Linked DNA regions of Neurospora crassa OR74A. Each later gene encodes a partner of the first gene's protein in a complex. Links are inferred from orthologs where the notes say so. Each region holds a gene or a part of one and is shown on either strand. Other genes may lie near its edges.

Region 1 (4,194 bases):
ACCGTCAAGACGCAGAAGTCCTCCGTCAGTACCTGTCGCAGGTCCGGCAGGAACTGGCGCAGAGGTTATTGGCGCGCGTGTACGACGACGAGACCGAGGACAAGCCGAGCAAGTGGTGGTTGAGCTTTACCAAGAGGAAGTTCATGGGCAAGGGACTCTGATGCGATGCCTTCCCTGTTCAGATGGCGTTGCATGGAATCGTTTAGCGCCAAAGTATAATACGTACTCTACACAAATAATATTTCAAGTTTCCTAGAGTGTGAGGGTGTGTTGGGGCGAGCGAGCAAGACTTTCAGTTGTTGTTGTTTTTGCGTGGTCCGGTTCGATCAGGCATAGATCGAGTACACATACACTTGAAACCCGATCATGAGCGACATGGGTTATATCTCCAGTTGACGTTCGATTAGTAGAATTACTGCAGCTCTATTTCGTGCAAATGGTATCTAAGAGCAAACGAGATCTATGCATATCGGTCATGCTGGTTCTCCTAACTGCTACCACTATCAGACTCCTGCTCATTGTTTGCCCGCCTTTCATGGACAAAGCATAATCATTTAAACCCATGGTCGCCTCCACTCCTCCTCGGCTGGTCGAGTCCACCTACTGTAAGCGAGCCTCGAAACGCTCTAACTGTCTTTTCCTTTCTGACTTTCCCTCGACCTCATTGCTTCCGTGGAAACCTCTGTGTGAGATCTTCCGATGCACGGGGAGAGAAGTGGCATCCTTGAACTCCCATAAATAACTCTTTCCGACCAATCCACTCATGCCGAAGCCGGCGTCGAAACGCTCTCCTCCACCTTTCTCCTCTTAAATTTGCCCTTGGCCGCAATCTTGCCCTCCGCTGGCTTCGCTCTCCATCCAGTAAAGATATATCCATCCGCACCACCGCGCTCCGTCATCAACGGATGCGTCCTGCCCGGCAACACCTGCCACCTCCTCGCCCTGCTAGTCTGGATGCTTGTGCCCAGTAACAGCGTGGGGTTGAGAGGGAACTGCTCGCTTCCCTCCCACTTTTCCAGCTCTTCGGCCGTCTTGCCCTGGATCTCCGCCACGTGTCCGCTGTTCCACGCCGTCCTCCTGGCAACGCTGAAGCAATCGGCTAGTGTCGCGAGAGGCTCGAGAGAAGGGGAGTAGATGGCCACGGGGGCGCCGCCGGCCAAGAGGGGAAGGGCGTGCTTGAGGATCGAGATCGGGTCCATGGTGCTGGCGCAGACGAGGCCGGAGAAGTTGCCGGCGCGCGTGCTGTCGACAATGTGGCGAACGCGGGCGTAGCGTCTGCGCTTGCGGTGGAAGTTGCCGCGGCGGCTGGGCTTCCAGGTGCTCAAGGTCTCGGGATCGGCAGTGAGGGGAGGGGTCGAGTACGAGGTGTCGAGTTCGGGCTTGAGGAGCTGCAGCCAGCTGAGCGTGAGAAGGTGGTTCAGTAGCGGGTGCGGCGGGTGTTGTGGGGCGGTGACATCGAAGTTCCAGTAGTTGAGGAATGAAAGGTTCGGTTGGCTGGCGCCGTGAAGGACGGTGATGGTGTTGGTTTGCGAAAAGGGAACGGCGAAATCGGAGTCGCGCGGCTTGTTGTCACGCGGGCGCTTGGGGTGTCGGGGAAGAGTTGTTGTCTCTGATGTTGCTGCTTGCTGTTGTCCGTCAATCATTTCCGTGTCTTTTTGGCTGGTCGTGTCAGATTCCTGTTTTGGTTCCGTCTCTTCCTCGGCCTTTTCTGTGGCTTCCTCCTCTTCCGCCGCTTCCTCGGTCTCGTCATCTTCCTTGTAGAGAACACCCATGCGCTCGGCCATGGCTGCGACTAATAGACCACCGGTATCATCGACAACTAGCCACCTTCCAGCCAGCAAGTCCTCTTGCAAGGGTGCAAGAGCCTCCTCTCCTTGTTCTGTTGTCGCCTTGGGATCCTCCAGGAAGACGTCCGCACCGCCATAGTGAACGTTACCCCAGCAACCGACCAAACCCATCATCTCGGCGCGAATGTCCAAGATCTTGCTAGCATCTCTCTCCTCCAGCTGCCAGTTGGAAAAGGTGGGAACGTCGATGGGCAGGACCTGGAACCTCCTGATGTACTTCTTCGTCTTCAACAGCTTGTACTTGGACAAACTGAAACTAGTCTTCTGGTCGAGAGCAGCATGCGACAAGAGAAGTTTGGCGATGACGTCCTTGCCGGCGTTGGTCCCGTCGCGCTTCAACTCCTCGATTTCCGCTTGTGTCAGCTTCTGGCGGGCGTTCTCGTCGATAACTTCTTGGGTAGACCGCGCAATGACGTTGCCGCTCTCGGCATCGACTAAGCTGAATTCTTCGCCAGCGGCGGTGGCAATGACGGCGTCATTGTTCGAACCAGGACCGGCAGCGGGGTTGGCGCATTCGGCGTCCTCTTCGGCGAAGACATCGGCGTAAAGTTCGGAAGGGGGGACGACTCGGAGGCGGGAAAAGCTTTCTTCGGGAAGCTTGTCTTGGACCTCAAAGGTAAGGTAGTATGGGCGTTCGAGGATTAGGTTGGCGGGGAAGGTGCCGTATTTTCCAAGGGAGATCGATCTGGTGGTGCGATGAAGGCATATCAGCATCTCACCATGTTTTGTTTACTTTGAAGCCGCCATTGTTCTCGGTTGACGTACGTATTAGGAGTGACCTGGATAACTCTGGTAACACCGGAGGGCAGCTTGAGGGCTACCCAGCTGTTGGGCTTAATTACTGAATGGTGCATCTTGAATTGCCTGGTTCGCAATCCTGTTCGTTGCTGGGTTCAAGATTGCAAAAGTGGAATTCCGATTCCCGAAGAGGAATTTCAATTGCCGCCGAGAAAAAAAAAAAAATCGGCGAGAAAAGTCCAGAGCTTAGCGCGTTGCGGGTCCTGCGGGTCCGTTGGAGGCGTGAATGGGTCTCGACCGAGACGACTCCACGCTCAGGCCCAGGGACCTTGATGGATTGGGGGGTGGGACCCACTTTGAACCTCACTGCTCAGGGGGGGTTATGCACTAACAATTACCGCTGAAGCATCAACCATCTACACTGCACAGTAAACAATCACACAATTCCAACTCTCCGTCTGCGTCGACATCTGTGGCTGTCCTTGCCGAATTTGTCATCAACTGTCGATGGGAAGGTGCGTATGACTGCCCACAGGCACAGGAGAGGGCAGTACCTCTAGATTAGGTCATACCCCAGACGAGACTTCGTCCTTTTCCACGAAATCCTTCAATTGACTTCAACACCATCCGAGTCTCGTCGTCTGCTTCTTCCCTGACTCTTCCTACGAACTGAACCATTGCGTCCACCTGTGCCCTCATCAACGCTTCTCGACTTATCCGTTGTGCTGACTGATTGCTACACCACCATCACATCATTGACTCATGTGACTCTCGAGTCGTTCCCCCCGGTTTTATTGTCGAGTTGTTGCCCAGTACCCCTCTTCTTCTTTGACCGGCCTGACTTCTTGACTTCGACTTTTCGAGGATTGCGTTCCGTTTCCCTCATCCATTGCGCCAGTCTTCATATCCGCAAACTTTGATTAGCAAGCCTTGTAAAACATCATCTTCTAGCTAAATATCTCCATACTGACAATGGCTTCCAAAGTTGGTTATGATCTATACCTCCCCCTCCAAGCTCTCGCAGCTAACCCCAGGACAACAGGATAACGAGGGATCCGGAGCTTTCATTCGCAGCGAAAGCGCATTCCGCCATTTTATCTCCCCTGATCCCAATGCTCAATTTCCAGCAGACAAGGGGCGGTATGCTCTGTACATCTCGCCCACATGTCCTTGGGTAAACTTTGCTCCTTTTTTCACTTGATCGTTATTCTTGTCGGCCGTCAACTTACACATTTGGTAACAGGCACATAGAACCTCCATAGTCCGGATTCTCAAAGGACTCGAGGACATTATCGACCTGTACGAACTCCACGCATCCATGGGTCCCACGGGCTGGTACTTTAGCGGTAAAGGTTCTTCCTTCCCTGCAGACCCCTTTTACGGCTTCAAGTACCTCCCCGATCTCTACAAGAAGGCCGACCCCTCCTTCACCGGTCCTTTTACAGTTCCCATGCTCTGGGACAAGAAGACCCACACCGTTGTCAACAACGAAAGTTCCGAGATTATCCGCATGCTCACTACCGCCTTTGATCACCTCCTGCCGGAACACCTACGTGAAGTGAACAGGCCAGGTGGCGGACTGTACCCGAAGCATCTGCAATCTTCCATC
Region 2 (3,938 bases), on another chromosome or scaffold:
AAGCGAGAGAATTCTCGTTGTCGAGACTATCGATTTCTTAGACGATCAAGATAGTTCCACGGCACTCGGTGGTACTCGGCTGAACCGGATGCAGCTCCGTATGTATCGGTGGCTCGATTTTGCGAAAGAACAGCTCGACCAGGCTCAATACCACAGGTTTTATAGATGTGCAATGTTTGGACTCTCGTCGTCTGTTGACCTTTAAGTTGTCTTGAATCTTTTAGTTTCAAAGGCGAAAATGTGGCAAACGGGACGAACTCTTCGAGGCTTCGCCACTGCAGGGAAGATCCTCGCGCAGATAAAGTGGACTGCAATGAATTTCCAAACTTCTTTTCATCACCTGTTCGACTGGTGATGGTTCGAGAAATGAGCAAGTTATTGCACGATTATTTGGCCAAAAGTAGCGTTGATGTTTCTGGAGACAAAGCCATTCAGGTCCAAGTGTACAAGTCGATAACCCGCCTTTTGTACCCCACAATTCTAGTCGTCGCCCACTTGGGCCAGGCTTTAAGGGCACGCACCGGGATGATTTTGTTTGAATCGAGAAGCTCTTTATCTGCAGTGCTGCTGCATTATTGAGCCTTGAGAGAGCATTGGAAACCCACCAATCACGTCGTCCAATTGCAAAGTGGGAAGTTCAAGTGCATGTGTGACAATTAGATACGGGCTGAACCTGCGCCCATGTTTGTGGACATCAATGCAGTATTCTGGAAAACGCTAAAAGGGGAATCAAGGAGAGAAAAAAAAAAGAGAAAGATCCGAATGCAGCGTGCTTCACTCGACGGCCTCAGCAATCTTCTCAGCTCTCTCCTTCCTCCTCGCCTTCCTGTCGCCAATCTTTTGCAACTGCTCCCGTCTCTCCTTCTTCCTCGTCTGCTTGTCAATGCTACCAACGACAGCCTTCTCCTTGCCGCAGGGGTGCTTGGCAAACGCCGCCGCCTCGTCCTCCTCGGTCCACTCTCTGGGCAACACGGCAAACACCAGGTACGACGTATGGGTCTTGATCTCCGGCTCACCCTTAGTGATGAGGCGACCATCAACCCAGGGAGTCTGGAATGGCGGCTGCTCGGCCGACGTCTTGTCGTTGTCCTTCTTGGCTGCATCATCTCCATTCTTCATGACAGTGTCCGCATCCTCTGCACCATCCTCTCCCGCACCCCTCGGGCGCGCAGCCTGCTCCCTGACGCGTTCCTCGATTTCGGCGAGCCTCTCCAGGGCCTCTTCCACATCGTGCGGCGAGACGTTGACGCCGCGATCGGTCTGGTAATGGAGGCCCACGCGGTCGCGGATGGTGTGAAGCTTCCTGTTGGCGATCTCGACCATATCGATATCGACCCACCCGAGGCGACGCATGGCCGAAACGGTCCTGGTGACCTGCTCAATGCAGGGAGAAAAGGTGCAGATGTGTACGGCCTTCTTGGGGTTCAGCGGTGATACCCATTCGGCGGCGGTATCTTCTCCCTCCTTAGCTTGGGTCTGGGGCTTGCGTCGCGAGAGGTGCGGGAGGGCCTCCCAGGGCTTAGGGAGGTCAAGGAATATTGCGTCGGCTTCCGGGCTCTTTCCGTCAATTAAGAAGCCGCCGTTGTAGACGTCACGGTGTGTAAGGTGAACGAGGCCGTCGAGGTTATGGTCGGTAAGCTCCTTCTTCATCTTATGGTAGCGCTCCTCGTGGTACTCGAAGCTGAAGACCTTGCCTTTCCTGTCCTCGGCGCTGGAAGGGTATCCGTTATAAACGGCGCGGACGGAGGCGTGGGTGAAACTGCCACTGCCGGCACCAGCCTCGATAATCGTGGAGCCAGGTCTGGCACGTATCCTGTGCAGAATGTAGCTGTAGTCGGGAGTGTAGACGACCTGTGTTCGGTGGGGAAGACTCTGGGTCCAGAGCTCGGGAGTGGGAGGGAGCACGTGGATGAAGCCGCTGTCGTCGGCAACGGCCTGCTTGACACCGGTGGCCTCAGTGTCATTGTTGTCGGCGGTCTCGGGCTGGTTCTCTTCGGCATCGTCGCGGCTGGCATCGTCCTTGGGGCCTCTTTTCCTCTTGCGACCACGGGAGCCAGTGTCAACCTTGGATGCCCTGATTTGAGAGCCCCAGGGGACATTCAGCATGGTGGAGTGAGGGAAGGAGCCATAGCGAGTGTTGACTACGGCGCCCTCAGCATAGCCGTCGTGTTCGCCCGAGGCTTCTTGAAGGTAGATGGGGAGAAGATTGTCGCGCGATAGCTGGAGAATGGCGAGCGAGCGGGGCTTGGTGCGCAGACCTGGTTCGAGGAACGGGGATACGGTTGGTCGCGTCATGGCGTCGGTCATGAACAATAACAATGTTATGTAGATGATTTGTTGTTCTGTTTTCGTTTCCGGCGGGTTCAAGGGAACGAACCAAGGATTGTAAATACGTGGAAATGACCGGCAGAGGAGGAGGCAAACGGTCTATCAGCGGCGCGGTCGGATAACAATAATTTGATTAAAAAAAAAAAAAAGACGGGTCGAGATGCTGGTCCAGATCCAGGTCCGAGTCGCCCTTTTGGAAATTTTCTCGACAAAAATTGGAACTTTACTGCGGGGCACACGCTCGGTCAAGTGGGGCTATCAGTTCATTCCACTCTTTCAACCCTAACCCCAAAGCACACTGCACAGCTGGTCCCTTGGGCACGTCCACTGGGGGCACGCAAATAAGGTTTGCCAAGTTCTGGGGTAACCCGTCTTGGCGTGGGGGCAGTTGAACCCTCAATCACCAATCTTCTTCTTCTTCAGGTTCCCAACTTCCATCCCCTTGGCTCAAGCTGCTGACGAGTAACTGAACCCAATCAACGACGTCACTTGTAAAGAAGAAACGAAAAGCAAAGAAGCAAAAGGCTCGACAGCCCAAGTCCCCAGTTGACTACCGTCCAACGAAAATACCACGTATCTTCTGTCCCAAGCACTCTACCACGCAAGCTGGGTACTGAAGGTGTTGGAAGGTCTGGAATTCAGGGCGTATATGGTTGGTTGTAAGGAAGGGCCTGCCGCTGACAACCACCAACCTGGGGCACGTACCTACCACCAGTCTGTCGGTGGGACCCGCTTCTATCACGTCACATGGATGGTACCTACCTATGTATGCAGTCAAGTCGTGGCCAACCACTATGTACCATTACTGCACATGCTGTTACAGTATTCATAAAAGGAGGTTTTCTCCGGTTGAGGTGAAAACCACAAACTTACCTACCCATCACCAGACGCAATGGTTGAAATAGAAATTCAGAGAAGCAATGATCATTCGAATCTTTCCCTCCCATATCTGCCCTCTCTGTGTCTAAAAAGATCATCAAGAGACTGTATACTGGATGCTCCGTGGTGCTCTCCATCCACACTCTGCATCCCCCAAACCAATGTTTCCTTTCACTAATCTTGTTACAGATTACAGATACTTGTGCTCACCCTATTCGAAACATAAGCGAGGGAAAGTGTCTGTAAACCCGTTTAAATGCCGGCAAAAGGTGTGTATACGCGTAACTGTCCGTGGAGTTTCAGCTGCCAGGTGGTTCGGTTTTTAGTTCCCCACCCTCTGCAGCACTGCCATCACAAGATGGATACGTACCGACATACCCGAAGCAGAGGGAAAGGGTGGATATTGGATGAACTGTTTGGCAACTCGTATACGTCAGAGCGTTTCAGAAGCCGAGAGGGAGGGGAGGCGGGAGGAATCTCGTATTTTATATCATTGATGGCTCATACCTACTCAAACTGATCACTTCCTCGCAACTTTTCTCTTTCTTTCTTTACTCAATTGCGCAACCTTTAACTAGTAAACATTGACCTCCAACCTATACCTCCTTCGATATATCATCATGGGTTTCTTCGGTTTTGGTATGTGTCTCCCTGGTTTGAATTATGTCACACGCACTGGCTATTGTGCCAACCTCATGATCTCGTCTCTAACACCTTTCCCTCTTAGACGA

What was found. Proteins that work in one complex are often made in the same cells at the same time.
Region 2: the proteins of NCU09571 (region 1) and NCU04196 are in contact, whole or in part, in a crystal structure (PDB 5ERG), measured with the Saccharomyces cerevisiae proteins. The link is inferred for Neurospora crassa OR74A from reciprocal best matches to the Saccharomyces cerevisiae genes GCD10 and GCD14. Residues at the interface, in NP_014337.3 of Saccharomyces cerevisiae: Met1, Leu4, Thr5, Phe9, Arg16, Asn44, Asp45, Ile46, Ile47, Gly48, Tyr49, Pro50, Phe51, Gly52, Leu53, Leu85, Glu194, Tyr195, Ser197, Ser198, Ser199, Gln219, Glu220, Gly223, Met224, Leu226, Asn227, Leu228, Asn230, Ile231; in NP_012410.1 of Saccharomyces cerevisiae: Phe6, Ser7, Gly8, Tyr9, Lys10, Asp11, Trp22, Arg25, Pro55, Tyr56, Gly57, Ser58, Gln59, Ala61, His74, Leu76, Gln77, Thr79, Pro80, Glu81, Leu82, Leu85, Thr96, Pro97, Ser100, Tyr101, Met103, Gln104, Arg105, Asn107.

Annotation. Positions count from the first base shown.
Region 1 is NC_026507.1:965,552-969,745, forward strand, and holds NCU09571 (tRNA (adenine-N(1)-)-methyltransferase non-catalytic subunit trm6), read right to left. Parts: upstream 2,805-4,194; 5' UTR 2,702-2,804; coding exon 2,613-2,701; intron 2,533-2,612; coding exon 762-2,532; 3' UTR 387-761; downstream 1-386. Other genes in the region: NCU09572 (ARP2/3 complex 21 kDa subunit), read left to right, coding at 1-161; NCU09570 (glutathione transferase), read left to right, coding at 3,558-3,569, 3,628-3,759, 3,829-4,194. UniProt on the Saccharomyces cerevisiae protein: Substrate-binding subunit of tRNA (adenine-N(1)-)-methyltransferase, which catalyzes the formation of N(1)-methyladenine at position 58 (m1A58) in initiator methionyl-tRNA.
Region 2 is NC_026505.1:5,167,778-5,171,715, forward strand, and holds NCU04196 (tRNA (adenine-N(1)-)-methyltransferase catalytic subunit trm61), read right to left. Parts: upstream 2,533-3,938; 5' UTR 2,308-2,532; coding exon 775-2,307; 3' UTR 504-774; downstream 1-503. Other genes in the region: NCU04197 (CipC protein), read left to right, coding at 3,828-3,846, 3,935-3,938. UniProt on the Saccharomyces cerevisiae protein: Catalytic subunit of tRNA (adenine-N(1)-)-methyltransferase, which catalyzes the formation of N(1)-methyladenine at position 58 (m1A58) in initiator methionyl-tRNA.